Linked DNA regions of Oryctolagus cuniculus. Each later gene encodes a partner of the first gene's protein in a complex. Links are inferred from orthologs where the notes say so. Each region holds a gene or a part of one and is shown in the gene's direction. Other genes may lie near its edges.

Region 1 (3,500 bases):
CACATTTAGTATATTAAAGCAGCTGACATGATGACTTTTGGTAGGCCTTCCCAGGCACTGGGGTTTCTCTTTAAATTTGCTGCACTATTTCATAAAAGATCTCATTAATATTTATTTTTGATTTTGCAGAAGATTCTAAGAATGCACAGTTGTTCCACAAGTTGTTGTTCTAGTTGTTTCTCCAGTACACAAGTACAATAATTTAGATTTTTAAAATCTATGCACTAAAACCAATTTCCTTTACAACCTTTCTTTTTTCTTATTTTATCCTTTATTTAAAAAGAATATAAGATAATTATGGTATGAAACTGTATTTTTTTTTTTTTTTTTTTTTTTTTTTACAGGCGGAGTGGACAGTAAGAGAGAGAGACAGAGAGAAAGGTCTTCCTTTGCCGTTGGTTCACCCTCCAATGGCCGCCGCGGCCTGCGCGCTGCCGCCGGCGCACCGCGCTGATCCGATGGCAGGAGCCAGGAGCCAGGTGCTTTTCCTGGTCTCCCATGGGGTGCAGGGCCCAAGCACCTGGGCCATCCTCCACTGCACTCCCTGGCCACAGCAGAGGGCTGGCCTGGAAGAGGGGCAACCGGGACAGATTCCGGCGCCCCGACCGGGACTAGAACCTGGTGTGCCGGCGCTGCTAGGCGGAGGATTAGCCTAGTGAGCCGCGGCGCCGGCCATGAAACTGTATTTTAAAGTCTATGATGAAGAATCATCAGTATGTGAGCCTTGCGGAAGCTTGGTTATTATTAAGAGTCTACAAAGGAAATTATTGAGACAACAGAGGAAAATTGATAATGGACAAGATTATTCAATCAATTTTAAAATTTTTGGCATATTAGTTATATTATGGTTATGAAACAATACCTTTTTTAAAGGATGGATATGGTGAAATCAATTTTGTGTGGAAAACAACACACTAAGTTTTTGCTGTTACATTCATTGAGCATTATGCTAAAAAATTTATATACTTCTTATTTAATTATTTTTTTAAAGATTTTATTTATTTATTTGAAAGTTAGAGTTATACAGAGAAAGAGAGAAGTAGAGGCAGAGGAAAGAAAGAGAGGGAGGTCTTCCACCTGCTGGTTCATTCCCCATAATTCTTATATGCTCATAAAAATTATTTACTCATAATTTTTATATGCTTGCTCAACTTAAAATTTTATGTTAATCAAGATCTCTATAATATTCTTGGACAATCAAAGGAGCTTAGAAAATATACTCCAAGTCTTACATTGCATTTATTTCATAATTATAATTTTAACTTTTTTTAGCATAAACTGTGTGGTTTAATAACAGAAATCTACTGTCACAGTTCTGAAAACTGAGGGTGTGAAGTGCAGATGTTGGCAGCATTGGTTTCTTCTTTTTTTCTTAAGATTTATTTATTTATTTGAAAGTCAGAGTTACACAGAGCGAGGAGAGGCAGAGAGAGAGAAAGAGAGAGGTCTTCTATCCAATGGTTCACTCCCCAGTTGGCCGCAACAGCCGGAGCTGTGCTGATCTGAGATGAGATAGGAAAAGTGGATTTAATAGATGAAGTGACTTGTTCATGTTTTACTAGAAATTGATTGACCAGGGATATAAACCTAGTGCAATCTGATTTCAGATGACTTCTATTAATGATTATGTTGGATTACTTCGTATTTCTGATTTAATATTCACTGAGAGCAAGAGTATTCTAGCCATGAGACAAGAACAACAAAATATAAAGATCTTTACAGACAACCACTCATTTTAGTTTTGAGGTGCTTTGGGGACAATGATTTGTTTACTTCTATATTTTTTAGTTAAAATTCATTCTTTTTTCAAATAAAAGATTTATTTATTTATTTGAAAGTCAGAATTACAGTGAGAGAAGGAAGAGTCAGAAAGGAGAAAAAAGAGAGATCTTCTATCTGCTGACTCCCTCATCAGGCTTCAATGGCCAGGACTGGGCCAGGCTGAAGCCAAGAGCCAGGTGCTTCCTCCTTGTCTCCCATGTGGATAGCAGGGGCCCAAGCTCCTGGGCCATCCTCTGCTGCTTTTCCCAGGTGGTTGGTAGGGAGCCTCATCAGAAGTGGAGGAATTGAGACAGGGACCAACTTACATATAGGATGCCAGCGTGGCAGGCAGCTGCTTCACTCACTACACCACAACACTAGCCCCTACAATTTCTTTGTGTGTAATTTTCTTTCTGTGTTTATCCTTCCTAATCCTTAGTTTTCAAAAATATTGACTTATTATTTATGTTTTATGTTGATAGAAGTCCTTAGAAGTTAAATGTTTTTTTTACTTTATTGGAGAGGGTTTAGAATATAAACTAACTGGCTGAAAACCTGACTTTATGTTGAATTATTGCTGAATTTTTCTTATTCACTTTTTTTTTACTATTTTAGTTGGCTCTTCGCAATGAGGAGGCAGAAAATGAAAACAGCAAATTAAGAAGAGAGGTTGGTAAAAAATTGTAGTGATTCCACTGATATTTCTTAAAAAAAAAAGTTTACATGGTGACCAGAACTGGAGTCTTCTAAGTGATATTTTCAAAATGAGTGATTTTGTGATATAACTTCATCTCAAGGAATTAGTAAATAAAACATGAGACTATTCAGTACCATATTTATCTTTTAAATCTGTATGAGCAAAGCTTTCTTTCTGATCTATAAACATTCTTTGCCTGTTTGCTAACTGAATATGACTGATTTTCTGTTCTTATTTCTCTCATTTTATCTAGTATTGTTTAACAATTTTTGCTTTTTCATGAGATCTTTAAAAATTTATTATTTGGTTCTTCTGAGCCTGATATTATTTGTACATTGTTTACTCTTATAGGCATTCTTATAATTTTAACATAAACAAAATGTTCTTTGTTTTGGATGATAATTAATAGTCTTACACTTTTGGTTATCTAAAATAATATATTTCATTCTCTTAAATTTCTCTTTTTTCCTTTAATTCCCTTATTACTTTTAGTTATTTATTGCTTCTCTCATTTCTAATTACTTTTTTTCCTGTTCTTTTCTGGAGAACAAACGTCTAAAGAAAAAGGTGAGACACTAAGGGTAGTGAAACTTTGGGAATGTAAAGGTATATTCTCAGAACATTAGTTAGAGAATGCAATTTGTTGTCCTGGGTAGTTTCTTAATTCAACGTTGCACTTGGTGTACCTTCAGAATGAACAGCTGCGTCAGGATATTATCGACTACCAAAAACAAATAGATTCACAAAAAGAAACACTGTTATCAAGAAGAGGAGAAGACAGTGATTATCGATCTCAGTTGTCTAAAAAGAACTATGAACTTGTCCAGTATCTGGATGAAATTCAGGTAAAGTGGGTAGAAGTCACTTCAGGGAAATGGCCTTGTAAAAACTTTAATTTTATTATACTGCCGCTCTAGTATTTAGCCCTACATGTAAATTCTGTAGTATAAACTTGCAACTATATACTTGTAAAACTTGTTAACTTCTCCTGGAAATAACAGTTCTTGATTTATTCTTTTTATATGTGCTTATCTTAAATATT
Region 2 (3,500 bases), on another chromosome or scaffold:
GGCCAGGGCATTAACCCGCTGTGCCACAGCGCCGGTCCCACTTTTTTTTTTTTAAGATTTATTTTATTTGAAAGGCAGAGTTACAGAGAGAGGTAGAGGTAGAGATAGAGAGAGGTCTTCTATCCACTGGTTCACTCCCAAGATGGCTGCAAGGGCTGGAGCTGTGCCAATCTGAAGTCTAGGAGCCAGAAGCTTCTTCCAGGTCTCCCACAAGGGTGCAGGGGCTCAAGGACTTGGGCCATCTTCTTCTGCTTTCCCAGGCCATAGCAGAGAGCTGGATCGGAAGTGGAGCAGCCGGGATTAGAACCGGTGCCCATATGGGATGCCAGCGCTTCAGGCCAGGGCTTTAACCCGCTGTGCCACAGCACCAGCCTCCATTCTTACCTTTTTTTTTCTTTTTTTTTGACAGGCAGAGTGGACAGTGAGAGAGAGAGACAGAGAGAAAGGTCTTCCTTTGCCGTTGGTTCACCCTCCAATGGCCGCCGCGGCCGGCGCACCGTGCTGATCCGATGGCAGGAGCCAGGTGCTTCTCCTGGTCTCCCATGGGGTGCAGGGCCCAAGCACTTGGGCCATCCTCCACTGCACTCCCTGGCCACAGCAGAGAGCTGGCCTGGAAGAGGGGCAACCGGGACAGAATCCGGCGCCCTGACCGGGACTAGAACCTGGTGTGCCGGCGCCGCAAGGCAGAGGATTAGCCTAGTGAGCCGCGGTGCCGGCCATTCTTACCTTTTGATTCAGCAACTCTACTTCAGGAAGTAGCATATCCTGAGGAAATAATTGGAGACATTTATAAAGATGTTTGTATAAGGAGGTCATTATAACATTATGTCATTATAACGTTATGTGGGGAAAATTAAAAACAACCTAAACCAGCAGTAGCGGATTGCTTGAACATGTTGGGTGAATAAGCTGGTATATGATGAAGCCATTTAATATAATATTGCAAAAACATGTTTGATGACCTGGGAAATAATTTGGCATTATTAAATGAGAAAGGACTTAAAGCAGTTTGTAGAATATGATTCCATTTCTTCCATGACTCTTCTCCGTACCATGTCTGTATCTATTCAGTTGATTATAGTTTGTGAGATCTAGGATTGGTTGAGGACTTGACTGTACCCTAACTTCTAAGCCCTAAACCTTCCAAATGACTTCACATTTTGTTCCCACAATCCTTTGAAGACAGCTTTATTCTAGACAAGGAGTTTTTGGTTTGTTTGGGTACAAACAGTTGCACAAAAAATTTGTGTAGTTGATTTTTTCAAAGTCTAATGGTTCATTATACCCTTATCTGTATTTTATACTTGACAAGAGCTCCTTAAAGGTTATCATATTTATCTTGATTTTTTTTTTTGTTAGAGAAAAGTTTCAAATGCCAAACACTTCAACACTTAAGAAATTAAATAGAAATGGACCGGAGAGGGCGTTTAGCCTCGCAGTTAGGACTCCGGACACTGGTATCCGTGACAGAGGACCCGTTCAAATCCCTGGCTGCAGCTTCTGACCCAGCCTCCTGCTGATGCACACTCTGGGCGGCAGCAGTGATGGCTCCAGTCCCTGGGTCCCTGTGACCCACGTAGGAGACCTGGGTGGAGCTCCTGCCTTGGGCATTTTGGCCATTTGGGGAGTGATCTGCAGATGAGAGTTCTGTCTCTCTGAATCTCAAATAAATTAAAAAATGAATTCTGGTGGTGCCGCGACTCAATAGGCTAATCCTCCGCCTGTGGCGCCGGGACACCGGGTTCTAGTCCTGGTCAGGGCGCCGGATTCTGTCCCAGTTGCTCCTCTTCCAGGCCAGCTCTCTGCTGTGGCCCGGGAGGGCAGCAGAGGATGACCCAAGTGCTTGGGCCCTGCACCCGCATGGGAGACCAGGAGAAGCACCTGGCTCCTAGCTTCGGATCAGTGCGCTGGCTGCAGCGGCCATTGGAGGGTGAACCAATGGAAAAAGGAAGACCTTTCTCTGTCTCTCTCACTGTCCACTCTGCCTGTCCAAAAAAAAAAAAAAAAAAATTCCAAGCTGTTTTCTTTTTTTTTTTTTTTTATTTATTTTTTTGACAGGCAGAGTGGACAGTGAGAGTAGAGACAGAGAGAAAGGTCTTCCTTTGCCGTTGGTTCACCCTCCAATGGCCGCCGTGGCTGTGGCTGGCGTACCACACTGATCCAAAGGCAGGAGCCAGGTGCTTCTCCTGGTCTCCCATGGGGTGCAGGGCCCAAGCACTTGGGCCATCCTCCACTGCACTCCCAGGCCCTAGTAGAGAGCTGACCTGGAAGAGGGGCAACCAGGACAGAATCCGGTGCCCCGACTGGGACTAGAACCCAGTGTGCCGGTGCCGCAAGGTGGAGGATTAGCCTATTGAGCCATGGCGCCGGCCCCAAGCTGTTTTCATAACTACCCTCCCTATAACTGTTAACGTAGGACAGTGCAAGCATGACACTTAAATAATTGTGCTGAGATTGTGTGCTCATGCCTTCACACTTGATGTTGTTATATTTAATTTTCAGGGGTGATAGCCAGTTTTGTAGTCAAAAGGCAGCCATCTATTCCTTGAATTTTACCTCAAACCCACCTCAGAGGATATTTAAACTTGTCGACCAGGTCAATCCATCTATTTTCTGCGTTCATATTACAAACTGTAAGTATTTGGATTGATGCATTTTGTGAAACTCTGGAATATAGTTCTTTCAAAGTTATGTTATGGAAAAATATCTTGCTCTTTTAGATTAAAGCAACCGTGTGGGTAGAATGTGTACCTTCTGAGGCTATTCCACAGTTATCTGCAAGTAACTTGTAGAGCTTTGGGCACCATGTTTTCTTTAAAAGTGACTGTGCTTGTTAGTTGTCTCTGGAAATTTTTTGCTTAATTTCAAACATGTTTATAATATGTGGACATAGGTACATGGAATCTGGATTTAATATGTATACATGTGATTTTCTTTTTTTCACTTTATTTCTTCCTGGTGTAATGGGTGAAAATTAGGTTCAGCTTTGAACAGTACCTGTGGTTTCTATTTCCTTTTTCTTTTTTATTTTTACTAAGAATATTTGCATGAAAACAGGATCTTTATTTTTATCTGAGCATTTAGCTCAGAGAAGGTCTAAATCCTGAGTACATGTGAGAGTAAAATGTTACCAAGGCGTCAGAGCCCGGAGACACAGCTGCGGCTTTATCAGTTAAATTCTGTCTTTTTGGAATGTCTGTGTGTATTTTGGTTTGTCCCCCTGTGACTGAAAACTTACATGAATGCTCGGCGATTTTTCGTCTGGATTGATGACTAGCCAGTGAGGGTCAGTGTCTCTGCATCACGCCAGTCTGGTGAACGTACCAGCCCGTTCCCTGCTCCTGGCTCCTCTGTGTGTAGCACTCTGGGCCAGCTGCCCCGTGGAGTTGCTGCAGAGCCTCACGCCCGTGGGCTCCAGAGGAGTTAGCTCTTGTGCTGTGATCTATCTTGTAGGACTGGAATCCATTGCTTCCCCCTCGTTCCAGAAGCAGGCTGAGCCC
Region 3 (4,102 bases), on another chromosome or scaffold:
CCTCAAGTCACCTTTGTATCATCCTCCATCTTGTTACTTTTATCTTCCTACTTTTTTCAATGACTACGAAAGTCTGATTCTCCAGTTTGCCTTTCAGATACAGTCTGGGGCTGACTTCTCTGAGTCACTGGGGCATTTAAAATTGTGTTCTCATTTTGATGGCAAACTTGTTTCACTATCATATGTATGGTCACTATCATACTTGGTCACCTTTTAAGGGAGTATTGCAGCAAAATTTGTATTTTGAGTGCTCATGGACACATTAAAATAACAGCAATTAATTTAATGTTTTAATGCCCAGTGAAGGCCAAATGCCTTCACAGAATGAACATTTCATAATAGTAGAAATAGAAAATATTACAGTGAGTTAGGGACGTCCAAGTCGACATAGCCAGGTCTCACTCTCATGCTAAAAGCAGCCATTTTGTATTTGCAAAGTCATATTTTTCTTATTCACTTTCATTTGAAATTGATGTTCGCATTTCGAACATCTAGCCTACTTGCTTTTAAATAAATAGCTTCACAACGAATGTGACAGCATCCGCGTGTATTATTTCTATTTGTCTCATGAAGTCCGTGCTACCTGCCTTTTTCTGTTTCATTTGAAGGATGAAGACCTACAAGAGATGGAGGATTTGGCCCAAAAAATGGAGGCTCAGTTTGGCCAGTTTTTTGATTACGTGATTGTGAATGACAACTTGCAAGATGCGTGTGCCCGGTTGTTATCTGTTGTACAGAAGGCTCAGGAGGAGCCTCAGTGGGTCCCCGCCACGTGGATTTCCTCCGACACCGAGTCTTCATGAGGTCCCCTGCTTCGGGCTGGAGTTTTAGCGCTGCAGCCTTGTCGGGGAGACCTGGAATAACAGCTGCTGTCTTAACAGCAGTACTGACCCATGTTAGTGTGTGCAACTGGATAAGTGCTGCAGTTCATTAACAGTATCGCAACAGTATGGCTCTGTATTATATTGCAAGGCTGTGCAGAGTGACACATTTGGCATTTAGGGAAACCTTTCTCTTTTCCTTCCCCTTCGATGCGGTTGTGGTGGGCATATCAATAACGTCACCAAGAATGAGCGCTTCTTAGGGACTTCAGGTCTTTCCAAGATTCAGTTAAAAGGAGCTTTCCTAAATAAAATGAGCAGTATTTAATTTCGGAAATGCACTTTATGAAACTTCTGTTTTGTGAATGCCTTTTACACAAAGTATCTACTTGGCTAACTCAGCAAGAAAGGTTAATGTACACATTTCATGGGTAACATCAACACCTCGAGATACTGAGATACCGCAAGTCTCCTGCATAGTCCCTAGAAGAAAGCCACGAGATGAGGATGCTATGCTAGGGTCTTTTTCTTTCTTCCCCTGTATCTGGGACCCCCCAGTAGCTCTCCCGGCCCCTTATCAGTTCATCTTCTGCATCACTCTCTCACCCTACCCATTCCAGCCCTCCCATCGCTTTCTATAAAGCATGTAATGACTCATTTTTTTAAACTTAAAAATAAGTTCCCTTTCTAAAAATATCCAAATAAAACAGAAAATGCAGTCATTTTAAACGATATTTAGATAGGCTGATTTAATTTTCTGTTGTGGCTCTTTGAGAAGGTTTCTGATTCGATTTACGCACTGTCGGTAGACGCTGTGAGAACTGTTTATTTCAATTGTTTATTACGCACTGTCGGAGACGGTGTGAGAATTATTTCAATACACACGCCCACCCGGAGTCCCGCCGGGGAGTGTCCAGCCCGGGGCGTCCGGGCGTTCCTCCCTACCCCAGAGCCCGGAGACGCGGGGCCAGGCAGAGCAGAGGCGGGCGGGGACCCGGCTCGGGCGTCAGCGGTCTCGCCGGGCGCTGCGAAGCCGCCGCCTCCCGCAGGTCCCGGAGGCCGGCGCGGCGCGGGGAGCCCGGCTCGGGCCGAGGCCGTTGCCCTGAGGGAGCCCCGCGGGGCGATCGCCATGAGGGACGACTCGCGGTTTCGTGTGGAGGAGGGCCGCCCGGTGAGTGGGGAGGGAGCGCGGCGGCCACGAGGGTCCCCTGGGGCAGCAGCAGCCCTCGGAGCGGGGCAGAGGCCAGCGGTGGGGGGCAGCAGCGGCCTGCCCTACTGGCCCCGGCCCCGTGGGCCGTTACTGGACCCCGGAGCTGGCCGGGAGTGTCCGGGGGCCTGAGCTCGCGTTGCCACGACGCAGCCTCCGTCCGCCGCCGCCCCGGCTGGGCGGGCTCCGCGGCTGCCAGCGAGCGGCTCTTCCAGGCTCCGTCGGGAGCGCCGGGCCTTCCGCCCGGAAAGAGAGCGTTGTGGCTGCGGAGCTTTTAAACCCAGGTCCTCCCTCACGCCCCGCAGACAAATCACAGCAAACCCTGGGGAAACCGTGATTGGAGCCCCACGGCCGCCGGAGCCTCTGCTTTCGGCCCGTCAGCCCAGGCTCCTAAGCCCAGTTTCCCGCACGGCCAGTCTGCAGAGGTCAGGCCCGGCCCCGGTACCCACAGCCCCCTCGCCCTACAGCCCACCGAGGGGTCTGCGGGCCCGAAGCGGCCTGGGCCGCGCAGCCCGATGACGCACTGCGCCTGCGCGGGCGGCCGGGCGGGCGGGCGGGGGTGGCGCCGCACGTCCCAGGGGCCGGAGGCCTACGGGCCCGGCTTTAGACAGAATGGGGAAGAAGCAGGTGGTAAGCGAGCGGTGGTTATGTTTGAGCGGTTAGGATTCTTGTCTCGGGTTGAGCCGTCCTGCTTTAGAGGGGCTTAGAGGTTGGGTTTCTGCTGTGGGTGAAACGTCATTTTTGCGGGATGTTTGAATGAGGGAGTTAGCAAGTGCACTGGACCTTGGGCTGGAACGCGCTTCGTAGCATCTTTAGAACAGCGGCGCTTTCGTGCGACTCCTTTCCAGTGTAATGTTTGACCACTGCATAGGATTAAGACAGTCAGCCTTGTCCTGGATCTTGGAGTATTTGCATTCATGTACTATTTGAACAGAAGGATGGCTGGGTGAGACCAACTCCTAGTATCTAGAATTTAACCGCGCTGTCTCCTGCAAGTAGCGAGATCCGTGGACCCTTAAATTGTTGATTTTGAAGGATTCCAGAATGCATCTTAGCTGCAGTGCTGTCTGCACTGCTAACACGAGTTTTCTCATTCATATCAACCTTTCTGCCCTAAAATCCTGTCTGTGGCACTGTTACTTGCTGCGCACGTTACAAAGTGGCGGAAAACTTCTATTGGCTTCCTGTTGAATTAGAACAAAACCCAGACTCCTTCCGTTGTTCTGACCCTGGGGCGTGTGCTTGGCCTTTACTGTCCTTTAACCCTGATTCTACCATTACCCGTCAGGGTGCCCTCACCGGTGGCCCATCAGATTTTTCTGTCACTCTGAACAGCAGGCTGTTGAAAGAACTTAAGGGTATTTGAGATTACATGAAGATGCCCAGGCTTTTACTTATCCACAGTTTTCTTCCTCCCTCCCACCCCCCATAGCGGCCTCCACGAGCTCTTCCACCTGTACCAAGGTAAACATGATTGACAGTAACTTAATTGTTGAACTTTAGAAACATAAAGCGAATAATGTTTGACGTGTAGTGTTGAGAAAGTATGATTCAGAAGAAACTTCCAAAAATTTAAAGGTAAAGCATCTTTGGGGCCTGAGGATAGCAGTTGTAACTGAATGTTCTCCTTTATTCAAAAGCCTGATTGTCACCGTGGTGTGCTGGGGGAGATCCGTGCTTGTTAGTAGAATTCTAATCCTCTTTTGTTTGCCAGAATAGTTTCCTGAGAGGTTAAGCTGATTATAGTGAGTGACAAATAACAGTTCCTAATCTGCTTTCTTATAGACAATAGGGAATATGGGTATGTGGGTCTTGAAAATGTTGGGGTTATTTTATTAGTAGTATTACATGGTATAGTTCTCACAAATAATAAGCTAGTTTGTAACCTGGCTGACATTGTGTGAAAGCTGATTTTATTTTAAGTATATAATGGTTTCAGTTATTTTTAAATTTAATTTTAAGTAGATTTGTAATTAATGGTTTCTTTTTTTGTTTTTCTCCTGCTGACTACATTTGGTCGGTATTATATGAAGTGCTATTCAAGGTAAGTTTATTATTACGTAAAATTATCAAA
Region 4 (3,987 bases), on another chromosome or scaffold:
AAAAGGCAGAGTGCCAGGTGAGAGAGAAGAGAATGAAAAAGGAAATCTGCCATTTGCTGGTTACCTCCTCAGAGGGGGCAACATCAGGGCCTGGACCAATTCAAAGCCAGGAGCGCGTGCTGCATTCCGCCCTCCAAGCTCCTGAGTCCACTGCCTGCTGTCTGCTCAGACGCACCCCAGGAATCTGGGACTCAGCGGGCGCTCTGAGGTGCAGGCGCCACCAAGCCGGCCCCTGCGGGCCTATTGAAGACATCCATAGACGGTGACTCCTTCAGTCTGGAACAATCCCACAAGCTGGGTGCTGTCATTCACCCTGATGGGGGACAAACGGGAATAGATGCAAATGACGCTGGCCTCAAGTCTTCATGAAGCAGAAGCCCTGTGTACCCCACCCCGTGTGTCCGCGAGGACCAGGACCTGACGCCCTGCAGTCCTCGTTACCAGGGCTGCACGGAGCAGGCACGCACGACCGTGGCGTTCCCAGCTGTCTGTCAGGAACCTTCTTTCTCGGATGGCGCTACCTGTGTGCATGCTGTCCTGTGCACCTTGCTGCCTCCCCGGTCCTCCACGTGTGCAGCCCCCGCGGTAGGAGGCGCGGCTGGGCGGGACTCCCGGTCCTGAGGACCAGGCTGCCCTGGACGCGGAGGCGGGGAGAGGCGCTCAGGACCTCAGGCGCCCGCGTGCACCCGCCCCACGGCCCGGACCGCTGGGCCCGGGGACGCCGCTCGCTCACAGCACTGGCGGCGAACGTGCAGTCGCTGGGAGGGCCCGGACCGCTGGGCCTTGAGCAGCCTGGGGAACTCCGCAAGGGAAGGGAAGCCCCGCCCCAGCCTCTGAGTGTCTGAGAAGAGGTTGTTTCCGAAGTCGAGGCCGGGGGATGCACAGAATGACCCGAGGGAATTCCCCCGAGCTCAGGCTCAAGTCTCTCATGTGGGGTTCAGGACGGGAGACAGGTGTTCTTTAGGGGGAGGAGGCGGGCCGCGAAGCTTATTTTGACACATTTCCTGGAGAGGCTCTGCAGCACAAACAGTCGGCGCTCAAACTTCCCGGCCACACTCAAGATGGCAACTGCCCGACCACGCCCCCAACGGCGGATCCCGGGGCCGGGGCTTGGGAGAGGCTACGGAGAGATGTCCATCACGGCATTGCCCCGCCCCCGAGGACAGCGAGCACCAATCGGCCGCGTGCAGGGCGGGGGCAAGGCCAGGGGAGGAGCCTGCTGTTGTCCCAGCAACGGCCAGGGAGCCTGAGGCGAGGGCGGTCGCGGAGGTTCGCGCCTTAGCGCCCTTGCTGTCAGGGAGGTCCCACGGGAGGCGCGAGGCCGGCGTCGCTGGCGCCCGCGAAGAGGACGGAGTCGGCCCAGAACCAGCATCCGGCTGCCGCATTCGCTCCCACTAGCCGTTAAGCTCTGTGAGGTAGGAGTGACGCATGCGCAACGAGTAGGGGCGGGGCCGAGGTGTTCGGAGGCGGGCCTCGATTCAATACGCATGCGTCGTCGAGCCTGTGGCGGGGCTATCAGCCGCGGGGAGGCGGAGCTTTGATGGCTGTGGGTGGAGCTCTCGGCCCCTTAGCGGGACTTAGCCAGGTCAGGAAGAGGTTTAAGGAGGGCATAGTTAGGCACCGGTTCCCAAGTCTAGGGCTACTCCCCCCATCTCCCGGGGAGACAGAGTCGGTGGATAACTCTGCATCCTCAGAGGGTTGACAAAACCAGGTTGGTGGCCTTCTGCCCCTTGCTTGGGCCTCAGTTTCCCTACTCAGAGCTGATTGTTTCTTTTCCCTCCCAGCGCCATGGCTGAGGTGCACGTGATCGGGCAGATCATGGGGGCCACCGGGTTCTCGGAAAGTAGCCTCTTCTGCAAGTGGGGCATCCACACAGGTATTCCCCCCAGGCCTGGTCACTGCCCACCAAGACCCCGCGCTCTCCCTGGACCCTCCGCCCCACCCCGGGTCCTCCTCTCCCCATGGGCTTTCAGCACTCCCGGCCCTGGCCAAGGCTGGCCGCGTGAGGCCCGCACTTCCTTCCTGCCCCGTCTCCGGGGACCCTGGCTCCCACCCTCGGCATGCATGGCCATTGACGATGATGGGCTAGGGGGAGACCCCATCCACACGCTTCATGTCAGAGCGCTCCTGTTAACTCCACTTGCTGCCTTGGGGGTGTGTCCTGGGATCCTCCCCAGCTTTCTCGTTCTTTGACTAGCAGCCTCCATTTATTGAGTTCTTACTGTAAAGTAGAAGTTTGCACCCCAGACTTACAGAGGAGAGGCCACATCCTGTCGTCAGAATGCCTTTCGCTCTGAGAAGGCAGCAATCATCCAAGTCCACACGGCCCAGCAGGGACTTGGAGACCCAGTGTTTCTGTAGGTCTGCATGGAGGCCAGACCTTGTAGAGGTGCAGTGTGATGGCCAGGGTCATAGGCAGCCACATCTGGGTTCAGATACTAAGTCCCCATGTATGTATCTGTGGCCTCTGGACTTGACCTCTCCAGCCCTCGGTCTCCTTGTCTGAGAGGAACGGCACGGTGTGGATAGCAGCTGAGAGGCGGTGTGGCGTCGAGGTTAGGAGCACAGACTGCCTGGGTCCTAACCAGGTGTTTATGTTTTTTAAGGTTTATTTATCTATTTGAAAGGCAGAGTTACAGAGGCTGAGGCAGAGAGAGAGAGAGAGAGAGAGAGAGAGTCTTCCATTCGCTGGTTCATCCCTCAAATGGCTGCAACGGCCAGAGCTGAGCGAATTTGGAACCAGGAGTTGTTGGGTCTCCCACGTGGGTGCAGGGGCCCAAGCACTTGGGCCATCTTCTCCTGCTTTCCCAGGCCATAGTAGAGAGCTGGATCGGAAGTGGAGCAGCTGGGGCTCAAATGGGGCCCATGTGGGAAGCTGGCACCGTAGACAGCCTCTTATTAATAGGTGACGTTAGGGCCTTGTTTGTGCGTCTGCTTCCTTGTGTGCACATGGGAGCAGTAACAACGTGTGCCTCGCGGATCTTTGCCAGGCCTAGGGGAGCATGCGCAGCACGCAGAGCAGGGCTGGCTGGTGCTGTGTGCCTGGCTCGCGGGTGACTCCGACAGGGTCCCATTAGTGAAGCCCAGGCACGTGGCTGCCCAGCCCCAGTAACAACCTATGAGGTAGACGTGGCTGCGTCTCGGGCTTGGGTCCCTTGGACCTGACTTGGATGGGTGAAGTCGCAGGATCAGAGTCGGGCTCAGGAGTCAGACTCCATGTCTACCCGGGACCCCAGCACTCACCTGCTCTGTGATCCCGGGCTGCTGTCCTTTTCTTGGGGCTGTTTAAGTAATCTTGTGTCTACGCAGCCTGACTCAGGGCTTCCCTCACCAAGGCCAGAGGGAGTCATGCTTGGCTTTTATTATCGCAGGTGGCTTTGGGGCATTGAATCCAGCAGGGAGCTCAGAGACAGTGGCCGAGGGGCCTGGTCGCTGCAGTTGGACATTTTACAGACTTCTGCGCTTGGGGATCTTTGGGTGCTGTGGTCACTGCTGTATCCCCAGAGTGGAGAACAGGCTTGGCATACCCTAGGTGCTCAATAAATGTTCATGGAATAATTAACCAAGTGACTTCCTTCTCAGAGCCTGTTTCTGTACTTGGAAAATGGTAATCATAGCACACATAGCTTCTAGGGTCACTTAATTGTCCCAAAAAATATGTATCGACCACCTTCTGTATACCACGCACTGGGGATCCCGCCATGTGCATGGGCCAAGCTCTCCTGAAGCTCATTCTACGAGCGTCAGACACTATATAAGCCGCTGAAGAAACTTAACTCAGTGATTTCCAGTGGCGACAGTGCTGGGGAGAGAGAGAGGCAATGGCTATAGAGGGCGGGTGTTTAGCTCGGGGTTAGGACCTGCACATCCCGCCGCACACCTGGCTGCTGGCTTAGCTCCCTGCTAATGCCAGCCCTGGCAGGCAGCAGGGATGGCCTAAGTGACTGGGTTCCTCCCGCTTACGTAGGAGACATGGGTTGTGTTCCC
Region 5 (2,768 bases), on another chromosome or scaffold:
AAGGCTACGGGGCTGTGGTGCTGCCTGTCACCCCAGGTAACCTCTCGTCCCTGTGCCAGAGGCTGTGGGTCCTGGGGCAACACTAACACTTCCAAAAGGTGTGCGTGTCTCTCATAAGCAGCAGGGTCATAAGAGATGAGAAGCTTCTCCTGTGAGGAATTGCTGCCAGTCCGTTGCAGACATCTGAGCAACAGCAGAGCTAACTTCTGCAGCTGAGCAGCCTGGCCACCTCTGTTCTCTGCCCAGCGCTCTTCCGATGCAATATGGCCTTGAGGAAGAAGCTGCAGGGCGATGGGCCCTGAGTGCACACACTGAAGGGATCTGCAGTCATTCTGAAATAAAAGCACTGATCTTTTATGGAGTGCAGACCCTGAGCTAAAGGCTTCTCAGTTAATTCTTGTGGCCACTCTGTGGGGCGTAGGTCGTCATCTTTGCATTTTACTAGATGAGGGGAAAGAGGCTCTGGGAGGCTCTGAAACTTTGTCCTTGAGTGTACAGGTCACAGACGGCCCGGCCGAGATTTGCATTTCCGTCTCACTGGTTTCCACCCAGGTGCTCGTCACCACTGTGATAGCCCTCACCAGAGGCTAGGCCGTCACGAGCCCTGACATTTCTTCCTCCATCACTGCAGGTCTCAGTGGTGCAGGCCCGTGGCATTGCTAGGAGTCAGAGAGGGGCCATGTACCCTTTCGGGACCTGGCCCCACTCCCTTCTCCCTTGCACAGGCTCGTATACCCTGACTGTGTCCACATGGAGGCCAGTGGAGCTTGGCACGCTGGCTGAGCTCAGGAGGTTTTTCATCGGCGGTTCTTTGGAACTGGAGGACCTGTCTTATGTTCGGATACCAGGAACCTTCAAGGTGGCTTTTGTCTGAGGAGACCCCATGCTGGGAACTTACACTCCTGTCTCTCTGTTCTCTGGAAGGCAGAGTCTGGGTTAAGGCCCCTTGGTCATCATTGCGTCCCATTACTTAGCGCTTGCTTCCTGTGACTTCCGCTGGAAGTCATGGCCATGTTTGGAACCAGGTGGGGGATCTCTTCTGCTCTCCAGGAGATCCCTAGAAAGGAGTGCCCTTGGAGCTTTCCCACGCTCCTTGTGGAAAACGAAGGGCTCAGTAATCAGTGGGGGAGGAGTGGCAGGAGGCTGGCAAGGCTGCCTAGTCTCAGAGGAGCTCTGCAGGCTCCCTGGTCACAGTGGGGCAGCCGGTACTGGCCCTGAGCTGGTGGGATAGGGTCTCCCCGATGGAAACGGTCTTCCTGAGAATGAGAATCAGAAGGGCGGCAAGGCCAGTGTGGGGCCCCAGGTCCAGAAACCTCAGAAACCTGATGCTGTCCCATCCGTATGTCCCAGGGGGAGCGTCTGAGCCGCTTTGGATTCCGCACTGAGACCACAGGCAGTGTCACCTTCCGCTTGCACTGTCTGCAGCAGTCCAGGTGAGTGGCCCTGGCCCTGTGCCTTGGGACTCCTTATCCCTGGGTGCCGGGCAATGCCCCAACCGTGAGGTGGGCTTCCTTGCAGGGCCTTCATGGAATCAAGCTCCCTGCGGAAAAGGATGCGGAGTGTGTTGGACCGTCTGGAGGGATTCAGCCAGCAGAGCTCCATTCACAATGTGCTGGGTAGGTTGCCCTCCCCAGCTGGCCGCCCAGGGCCATGTGGGCCGTGTTCCTGCCTGTACCATGGCAGCGTCTCCTTCTCCTGCAGAGGCCTTCCGTCGAGCCCGGCGCCGCATGCAGGAGGCCCGGGAAAGCCTCCCCCAGGACCTAGTGAGCCCCTCAGGAACCATGGTCTCCTAGCCCACCGCAGCCCTGGCCCACCATGCAGGAAGACACGACGAGAGAGGGGCTGGCACAGTCAGTGATCCTGTGGCCCCGTGTGGCCCCGCTTCACATTTCAGCAGCTGCAGATGGGCTCCACAGCAAGGCAGGCTTTCTGGTCTGAGACTCATTTGGGTGAGCACACGGTCAGCCTGTTCTTGACCCAGCCTCTTGCACGGGCTCAGTGGTAGGGAACAGCAGGCAGTTCCTGCCCACAGCCTTGCAAAATGGAACCGATTTTCTTTCAAGAAACAGGAAGGAGAGACTTAAACCACTGGCCCCTCAGTCTCAGCCGCCTCTTTCCAGCACAGCCTTCTGCTATTGCTTGGGGCTTATTGAGCTGGAGATGTGACTCATTTCATAAGCGAAGGCTGAGGGCAGTGCCTAGTCCCTTCTGTTAGCTGGGCAGTGTGTTTTTATTGTGCTTTTGTGCATAAAAACTTTTTTATATTGACTGATGTTCTGTGGCTGCTTCTCTGCTCAGGTCACTGGCATGCCTGAGGGGTTCGTCTCAGTGCTGGGGCCCCTGCTGCTGTTCCCACTCTAGAGTATTCTTTGGACTCTCCATTCAGCCCCAGAAGAGGCCTCCAGGAGAGCACCAGCCTGCATCTTGGCAGCAACCCTCTTCAACATCTGGGGCGAGCAGAGGGCTGTGGCCGCGCCCTCCCTGGCCAGGCATAGAAACGGCAGCTTTATGCTTAGCTGTCCTTTATTGGTAGAGGCAGAACTTGCTGCCCAGGCTGCAGGCTCAGGACTGTGGGACCATGTGGTCTCCCAGGCATGGGGGTGGGAGGAGGAAGTTTGGAAGACAGAGGAAAGTGCTGGAAGGCCTCAGCTGACTCTTGCTGGGCCTCAAGGCTCATGGCTTGGCTCCCAAGTCCTTGCATGTGGTGTTGATTCATAACCTGATGCCCAAGAGGCTCCAAGCAGGTGTGTTCGTTCCTGTGGGAGACC
Region 6 (3,500 bases), on another chromosome or scaffold:
CACTTCTTTCTAGTTTCAAACAGTAAGCAAATTTCTGCTGAGACAGAAGACAAATTGTCACTCTTCTACTGTCTTCCCAATACATCATAGCCAAAACCTTCAAAATGGCCTACAAAGCCTCCTTGATCTGACATCCACCCTGCCTACCCCTGCCTTCTCCCCTTCCTTTGCTGTTATCTTTCCAACGTGCCCACTCCTCTAAAGCCACTTTGTATTCCTTGTTATTCAACAATCAAACACACTTCGCATTTGCTATTTCCTTTGCATAAATGACCACCAATGCCTTCCCAATACCCCTCCCACCTTTACTGATTAGATTCACAAACTTCTCCCTCATTTCTTGCATTTCTGATCAAATGTCGGTTTTTTTTTCCCCCAGGAAAAATTCCTTGCCCATCAAAATTTCTTCTGTTCCTGCAACTTAGTTTTCTCCATGGCCTGTGCACATTTAATTATTATCATAATATCGTAAAAACCCAACTCCAAACTAAATGGCTTCAAGTATCTATTTTCATAGATTTGTGGGTTAGCTGGGAAACTTGGCTGCGGCTGAGCAGCTCTGCTTCATGTTTACTATGGAACTCAGGGCCCTGACAGTGGCAGAGGCACAACAGGGCAAAGCCCCTTAGCCTAGACTCAGGGGTGACACAACAACAAACCAAAGCCAAGTGGCAGGGAAGTGTTTCTCATCTTTCTTAATGGAAGCAACTGCAAAGTAACCTGAAAAAAGATAGCCATAGAGGAAGAGAATTGAAGCTAATGATACAATCTATCTTATCCTTCAACACCATCTATATCCCATGTACTTACTTGCTGATTTGTTTGCTGTATCTTTTTGAAGATTATTTACTTGAAAGAGAGGAAGAGAGAGAGCTCTTTGGTCCACTGGTTCACTCCACAAATGGCTGTAATAGCCTGAGCTGAGCTGGTTGGGAGCCAAGAGCTTCTTCTAGGTCTCTCACGTGGGTGCAGGGGCCCAGGGAATTGGGCCATCCTCCACTGTTCTCCAGGCACACCAGCAGAGAGCTGGATTGGAAGTGGAGCGGCCAGAACTCAAACCAGCATCCATATGGATGCCAGCATCACAGGCAGTGGCTCTACCCACAATGCTGGCCCCACATTTTTTTTTTTTTTTAAGTTCTATTTTATTTGAAAAGCAGAGTTAGAAAAGGAGAGACAAGAGATCTTTCATCTGTTGGTTCACTCCCCAGATGGCTACAACAGCCAAAGCTGGGCCAGACAGAAGCCAGGAGCTTCTTCTGGGTCTCCCACGTGGGTGCAGGGGCCCAAGTACCTGGACCATCTTCTGCTGCTTTAGCACATTAGCAGGGAGCTGGATTGGAGGTGAAACAGCAGAGACTCAATTCGGTGCCCTTATGGGAAAGGCAGCTTTATCTGCTGTGCTGCAATGCCTGCCTCCGATATATCATCTCATTACTCATTAGATACTTTTTTTTTTTTTTTTTTTTTGACAGGCAGAGTAGACAGACAGAAAGGTCTTCCTTTGCCGTTGGTTCACCCTCCAATGGCCGGAGTGCTGCGGCTGGTGCACCGTGCTGATCCGATGGCAGGAGCCAGGTGCTTCTCCTGGTCTCCCATGGGGTGCGGGGCCCAAGCACTTGGACCATCCTCCACTGCACTCCCGGGCCACAGCAAAGAGCTGGCCTGGAAGAGGGGCAACCTGGACAGAATCCAGCGCCCCGACCGGGACTAGAACCTGGTGGTGCCGGCGCCGCAGGCGGAGGATTAGCCTAGTGAGCCGTGGCGCCGGCCTAGATACTCCTTAGAACTGTTTCGTTCACTACTTAACCCGATTAATAAACCTAGGACTGAACACCAGTTAGATGAAAACTTAATCTGTGCTAGACATATCATTCAATATGACTAGAATATGCCACGAGGTAAGCTAGTGCTAAAGACTGAATGGCAAGTAACGCCTATGGTGAACATTCTCAAGGCGAAAGTTTAAAACAATAGTGAAGATGCAGATAAATAACCAGGCAGTTACAAACTGACAAATAATGACAGAACAGCTAATAGTTATTGAGCACTTACTACATATCTATGCATTATTCTAATAAGTACAGGTAAATCAACTCTGAATCGCTTAGCCTTATGAAGTAGTTGTTATTATTCCATTCTTATAGATGAGAAAACTGAGGAACAAAAGTTAGATAAATCATCCAAGGTCAGACAATTGAAAAGTGTTAGGGTCAAAATTCAAGTGCTTGTAGTCTAGTTCCACAACCAACATGCCACACTGCCTCAACAAGACAGGTGCGGAGGGCTGTAGAAACAAAGAGGTACACATTTAATTTTGGGAGCTGGAAAAGCAGGGTCAGGAAAGAAAACATGTACAGTCTATGTGTCCATACAATATGCACACACACCAGAGACGTGTGTGTATTTTGGTTAACATATATGCTAATATGGTATTGTTTTTTTAGGTTTGGTTTAATATTCAACAATATGATTCTCCACTAAGGATAAATTTTGATGTTACCAAGCCCAAGCTCTGGAAATCTTTCTTTTCAAGAAGCCTTCCATACCCTGGCCTTTCCAGTGTTCAGGTACAATTTTTTGTTTATTTTTAAAGATTTATTTATCTGAAAGGCCAAATTACAGGGAGCAGAGGTAGAGACAGACAGAGGTCTTCATTTGCTAGTTCACTCCCCAAACGGCTTCAGCCGGGCCAATCCAAAGCCAGGAGTCTGAAGCTTCTTCTAGGTCTCCCAGATGGGTGCAGGGGCCCAACGACTTGGGCCATCTTTTTCAGCTCTCCCAGGCCATAGCAGAGAGCTGGATTGGAAGTGGAGCAGCCAGGACTTGAACCGGCATCCATATGGGATGCTGGCACTGCAGGTGGCAGCTTTACCCACTATGCCACAGCATCTGCTCCAGGTATAATTCTTTTACTAATAATAATAGAATATAGAAAAGAAAATAAAGTGTATTATACTATGTAGCTATATTTTTCCCCTTAATCCCACTCCTGGGTAAGTCTACAACCATATTGGTTTTTCAAAGTTACCTGAGCTCCTCATATGTCTTTATGTAGATGTGAAAAGATCAATATGCATTTTAATGTCAAACAGTTTTGATATAAAAAATTCCCATAATACCACAAAATATATTCCATTTTTTTAAATGGTGATCAATTTGCTAATTCAGTTTCATGACTGCTAATCAAACATGAAATCAAATGTCAGATATGATCCCTTAGAGGCTTATAATTTAGAGGGTCCTGGCCAGTGGAAGACGGTAAGTGGTAAGCCTGAGTTGTTTACTAAAACTTTTCTTCCTATCAAACAAATCAGAATACACATGCATCTGTGTATCAAACCTTTAAAAAAAAAAAAAAAAACTTCAAAAAATACTGCCCTAGAGAAATTTTACCGTATGTGAGAAGATGACATATACAAGATTTTGTGAACTGGAATGACAGGAGAAAAATTGCTACATGCTAGAATGTTAGGAGTTAAAATGAATCAATATAATGA
Region 7 (3,500 bases), on another chromosome or scaffold:
CCCTGAGCTATAGATTTTTTAAGTGGGGAGTGTAATTATGAAGCCAAATCAATGAGCTGGTACATTTTCTGTTTAGGAACTTGAAATATTTTGTACTTCGTGACTCCTTCAGCAATTTCTCAAGTATTTCTTAGCTAGATTAGAGTGTGGATCATTCTGCCAATGAGGAAAATAGCATTTGAGAGTTGAACAATTAATTCATTTCTGAAACATCCATGTATACTTTCCCCATGTTAATAACTCACTTGATCTTAAGTTACTTTTAGGGTTTACTAATATAAATCTTGGAATGTAAACTATGAGAAATTTCCTCAAACGCTCTAAAACAGACTCATTGATTCCAAGTAAAAAACTCAATAATCTTCCTAATATAATATAAATCAAACTGTTCATGTAAGCAAACTATGCTTAGCTGAAAATTTGTTCTTGTGTCTTCTTTTCTTAGGCTGACGCTGTTAGAAGCAATCTTCAGAATATTAAAGAAAGTGAAAGTGGTGATGTAAAAGCTACTAACACAGATAACCCAGAGAAGGGCATGCGAGTCAGTAAAAACAAATTGAGGAATACTCAGTCTGCAGCTGAAAGTCCACATGATGATGCTAGTGTAGAGGAAGACAAGCAAGGAAAGCCGAACAGAAAGGCTGGGAAGACAGCGCCCCAGGTGACTGCACAGGAAATGGAAGTGGGCACTCCGGAGAAGAAGGCAGATTCTGCACATCAGAAAGCACGACCAAAGTCGCAGCCCGGTGTGGATCATCAGAAAAATGAGAAAGCCGAGGAGGGGCGGGAACATGCCGATGTGGAAGAGGAAGAAGAACTGATGCAAGCGTATCAGCTCCAGGTAGCTGAGGAAATGGCCAAGGAGATTAAGAAGAAAATAAAAAAGAAACTGAAAGAGCAGCTGACTTACTTTCCTTCTGATACTTTGTTGCATGATGACAAGTTAAGCAGTGAGAAAAGAAAGAAGAAAAAAAAGAAAGTTCCAGTTCCATGTAAAGCTGAGACAAGGTACTTTGCATTGATAGCCAGAAATTGTCTTCTTGAGAAAACTGTTATTTTCAACTGAAGAGTGATACCTGTATTAAACAAAAGAGCATTCTTAGTCTTTGATTAGTTGACATTGCACTAAGATAGTGACAACTGATGTTCTAGGTAGCACCTCAGAGTACTCAGTTCTTTGCAAGAGTTAACTCATGTATTCCCATAAGTGAAAGTCATATTTTCACTCTGTTTGCTGTGAGGAAACTGGGGTTTAAATCACAGAACTAGTAAGAGATAGAGCCAGAAATTTGGTAGTCTAATTCCAGACTCCACCCTTAACTATACACTTATGAGTCTGTCTGCTTTTAAAATAATAGAAACCTAATTATTTCCAGCTTTTTGAGTTATAGATGTCTACTTGGATATATAAATGTGCCTTCTCTTGCTCAAATAACATTTTGTTATTGGAGCACAACCATCCAAAGATAATCAGTATTAACAATTTGATAATCTAGTCTTTTTCTGTATATGCTGCTCTTACATATATGTGTGCGTGTGTGTGTGTGTGTGTGTGTATTTGATATGGATTTATATTCATATTTATAGGTTCTCTTCTTGTAGAAAACATCAGATAAAAATGTCTTTTAACTTCCATAATTAACATTCTCCCCCTGCAATCCTAATTTAGAGAAACAACTTGAGGTAGGACCATTTTAAAGTGACTATTCCTTGGCATTACAAGAAAATTATCCCTAAGGCCCTTGGTTAAAAATAATTGCCCTCTCACCAAAAAGTAGATCAATTGTAACAAAGAGAAGGTAAGTCAGGTTGCTACAGGGACATGTTAGTATCTGTTTTATTTTTCCGTTGCTGCATTAAAAAATTACTGCAGAATTTAGCAGCTTAGAACACCAAGCATTTGATTGTGTTACTCTTTGTATGGGTCAGGATTCAGAATGACTAGATTGGGTGCCTCTGACTCTCAAAGGATTGTCACCCCAGCAATCAGGATGTTGGCCAGGGCTCAAGTTATCTCCAGCCTTGACTAGGGGAGGTTCTGCTAAGTGGCACAACTGTCAGAAGGCCTTGGGGACAATCCAATTCTACGCTCATGCATGTGGCAGTTGGAAGTTCCCAGTCCTGACTAGCTTTTTGCCACCTCTCACCTCCTTGCTACTCACAACATAGCCACTTGCTTCCCCCAGAGTGAGTGCTCTGAGAGAGTGCAAGCAAGACAGAAGTCACGATCTTTTTGAAATCTGATCTTAGAAGTGACATCCATTTCTTTGGCATATTCTGTCGATTAGAAGGGGGTCACTAGGTCAAGCCTTCACTCAAACAGGAGAAGAGTATACAATGACGTGAGTATCAAGAGGCAGCAATCAGCAGGGCCACCTTTAGAGGCTTCTACCATGTCTAGCTCCTCCACACCCTCCCAGTCTTTTAAATAAATAAATAAGTAAATGGAAGTTTTTTTCATTTTTCAGTTTGTTCTTGGCAGCAGAGTGAAGATGTTTTGATCACACAGATCCATTGCATATAAAATAGAATTTTCTCCTATGGTTTTGAGCCTAGTTTGAGTTGGCTCACAGGCATATAACTCTTTTACAAGAATTACATAGTGCCTATGATACTTAGTTTGGCCACTAACAATTTTAGTGTATAATAAAATGTGGTATGCATCTCCCAGCAGAAAATATTGACTTTGAAATTGTGTTTGCTTCTATGCACTGGTCATTCTCTTATAAAGTGAATAGTAAGTAATATAATAATATATTTGGAATGGCTTATCCTTGGATTTTATTTACAGTTCATTGACCATCTCTAATGACCCAGATGAAGGTGAACAAAAGAAGGAATCTCCAGTTGAAGCAGTTACTTCAGATTCTCATCAAGATGATGAAATAAACTCAATGGAACAAAACACAGAAGACAACATGCAAGAAAACATAAAACCTAAGCCCAAAAAAACAAAAAAGAAAGTTAAAGCAGGTTTGTTATCCAAAGTAAATGAAAAATTGTGTACCTTGGTAGAAACTTAATTTTAAGAAGCTTAGACCTTATAACTAAAACTAAAGGATATAATTGAAAATAACCCAATATAGAATATTTAGCACTTTTTCTTGGATTTGTCTAGATTAAAACATTCATTTATTTGTAACTGAGTCTATGGTGAGTTATATTTTTTGATTTAATTCAACTCAAGAATGATGTTGACTTTGTTGTTGCTAATGTGACATAGATTTCTTCTTTAAACCATTGAGTTTAGAGCCCTAAATGGTTAAGACACAGTTGTTGAAAGCTACAAATAGTCAACAGCCATAAACCTTTCAAATGTTCAGGCTACATCCCTCAGGCCAGCATAGTAACTTTGCAGTTCCTCAGCTATATTCAGTTTCTCCTTCCTCAACTTTCCTTTTTGCCTCTTGCTTTCTCTTGTCTTTTTTCTGATTACTTTTGTCTTACTTTACTTATTGTTGCCTTGTTAATCACTTGTTATATCTTTTTTATTTCAGTTT

What was found.
Region 2: CEP290 (region 1) and TCTN1 share a complex: the UniProt entries of both Homo sapiens proteins name them as parts of the tectonic-like complex. The link is inferred for Oryctolagus cuniculus from reciprocal best matches to the Homo sapiens genes CEP290 and TCTN1.
Region 3: CEP290 (region 1) and TMEM237 share a complex: the UniProt entries of both Homo sapiens proteins name them as parts of the tectonic-like complex. The link is inferred for Oryctolagus cuniculus from reciprocal best matches to the Homo sapiens genes CEP290 and TMEM237.
Region 4: CEP290 (region 1) and B9D2 share a complex: the UniProt entries of both Homo sapiens proteins name them as parts of the tectonic-like complex. The link is inferred for Oryctolagus cuniculus from reciprocal best matches to the Homo sapiens genes CEP290 and B9D2.
Region 5: CEP290 (region 1) and MKS1 share a complex: the UniProt entries of both Homo sapiens proteins name them as parts of the tectonic-like complex. The link is inferred for Oryctolagus cuniculus from reciprocal best matches to the Homo sapiens genes CEP290 and MKS1.
Region 6: CEP290 (region 1) and CC2D2A share a complex: the UniProt entries of both Homo sapiens proteins name them as parts of the tectonic-like complex. The link is inferred for Oryctolagus cuniculus from reciprocal best matches to the Homo sapiens genes CEP290 and CC2D2A.
Region 7: CEP290 (region 1) and AHI1 share a complex: the UniProt entries of both Homo sapiens proteins name them as parts of the tectonic-like complex. The link is inferred for Oryctolagus cuniculus from reciprocal best matches to the Homo sapiens genes CEP290 and AHI1.

Annotation. Positions count from the first base shown.
Region 1 is NC_091442.1:90,797,009-90,800,508, reverse strand, and holds part of CEP290 (centrosomal protein of 290 kDa), read left to right. Parts: intron 1-2,376; coding exon 2,377-2,430; intron 2,431-3,004; coding exon 3,005-3,025; intron 3,026-3,150; coding exon 3,151-3,303; intron 3,304-3,500. UniProt on the Homo sapiens protein: Involved in early and late steps in cilia formation. Its association with CCP110 is required for inhibition of primary cilia formation by CCP110.
Region 2 is NC_091452.1:8,283,571-8,287,070, forward strand, and holds part of TCTN1 (tectonic-1), read left to right. Parts: intron 1-2,502; coding exon 2,503-2,633; intron 2,634-3,500. UniProt on the Homo sapiens protein: Component of the tectonic-like complex, a complex localized at the transition zone of primary cilia and acting as a barrier that prevents diffusion of transmembrane proteins between the cilia and plasma membranes.
Region 3 is NC_091434.1:38,296,981-38,301,082, forward strand, and holds the start of TMEM237 (transmembrane protein 237), read left to right. Parts: upstream 1-1,302; 5' UTR 1,303-1,950; coding exon 1,951-1,992; intron 1,993-3,460; coding exon 3,461-3,492; intron 3,493-4,061; coding exon 4,062-4,072; intron 4,073-4,102. Other genes in the region: MPP4 (MAGUK p55 subfamily member 4), read left to right, coding at 609-803. UniProt on the Homo sapiens protein: Component of the transition zone in primary cilia. Required for ciliogenesis.
Region 4 is NC_091449.1:13,268,936-13,272,922, forward strand, and holds the start of B9D2 (B9 domain-containing protein 2), read left to right. Parts: upstream 1-1,187; 5' UTR 1,188-1,415; intron 1,416-1,489; exon of another isoform or gene 1,490-1,711; intron 1,712-1,784; 5' UTR 1,785-1,788; coding exon 1,789-1,876; intron 1,877-3,987. UniProt on the Homo sapiens protein: Component of the tectonic-like complex, a complex localized at the transition zone of primary cilia and acting as a barrier that prevents diffusion of transmembrane proteins between the cilia and plasma membranes.
Region 5 is NC_091448.1:33,633,795-33,636,562, reverse strand, and holds the end of MKS1 (tectonic-like complex member MKS1), read left to right. Parts: coding exon 1-36; intron 37-725; coding exon 726-859; intron 860-1,350; coding exon 1,351-1,433; intron 1,434-1,518; coding exon 1,519-1,616; intron 1,617-1,701; coding exon 1,702-1,793; coding exon of another isoform or gene 1,794-1,858; 3' UTR 1,859-2,268; downstream 2,269-2,768. UniProt on the Homo sapiens protein: Component of the tectonic-like complex, a complex localized at the transition zone of primary cilia and acting as a barrier that prevents diffusion of transmembrane proteins between the cilia and plasma membranes.
Region 6 is NC_091433.1:10,626,688-10,630,187, forward strand, and holds part of CC2D2A (coiled-coil and C2 domain-containing protein 2A), read left to right. Parts: intron 1-2,447; coding exon 2,448-2,570; intron 2,571-3,500. UniProt on the Homo sapiens protein: Component of the tectonic-like complex, a complex localized at the transition zone of primary cilia and acting as a barrier that prevents diffusion of transmembrane proteins between the cilia and plasma membranes.
Region 7 is NC_091436.1:33,446,153-33,449,652, forward strand, and holds part of AHI1 (jouberin), read left to right. Parts: intron 1-445; coding exon 446-1,008; intron 1,009-2,791; coding exon 2,792-2,973; intron 2,974-3,500. UniProt on the Homo sapiens protein: Involved in vesicle trafficking and required for ciliogenesis, formation of primary non-motile cilium, and recruitment of RAB8A to the basal body of primary cilium.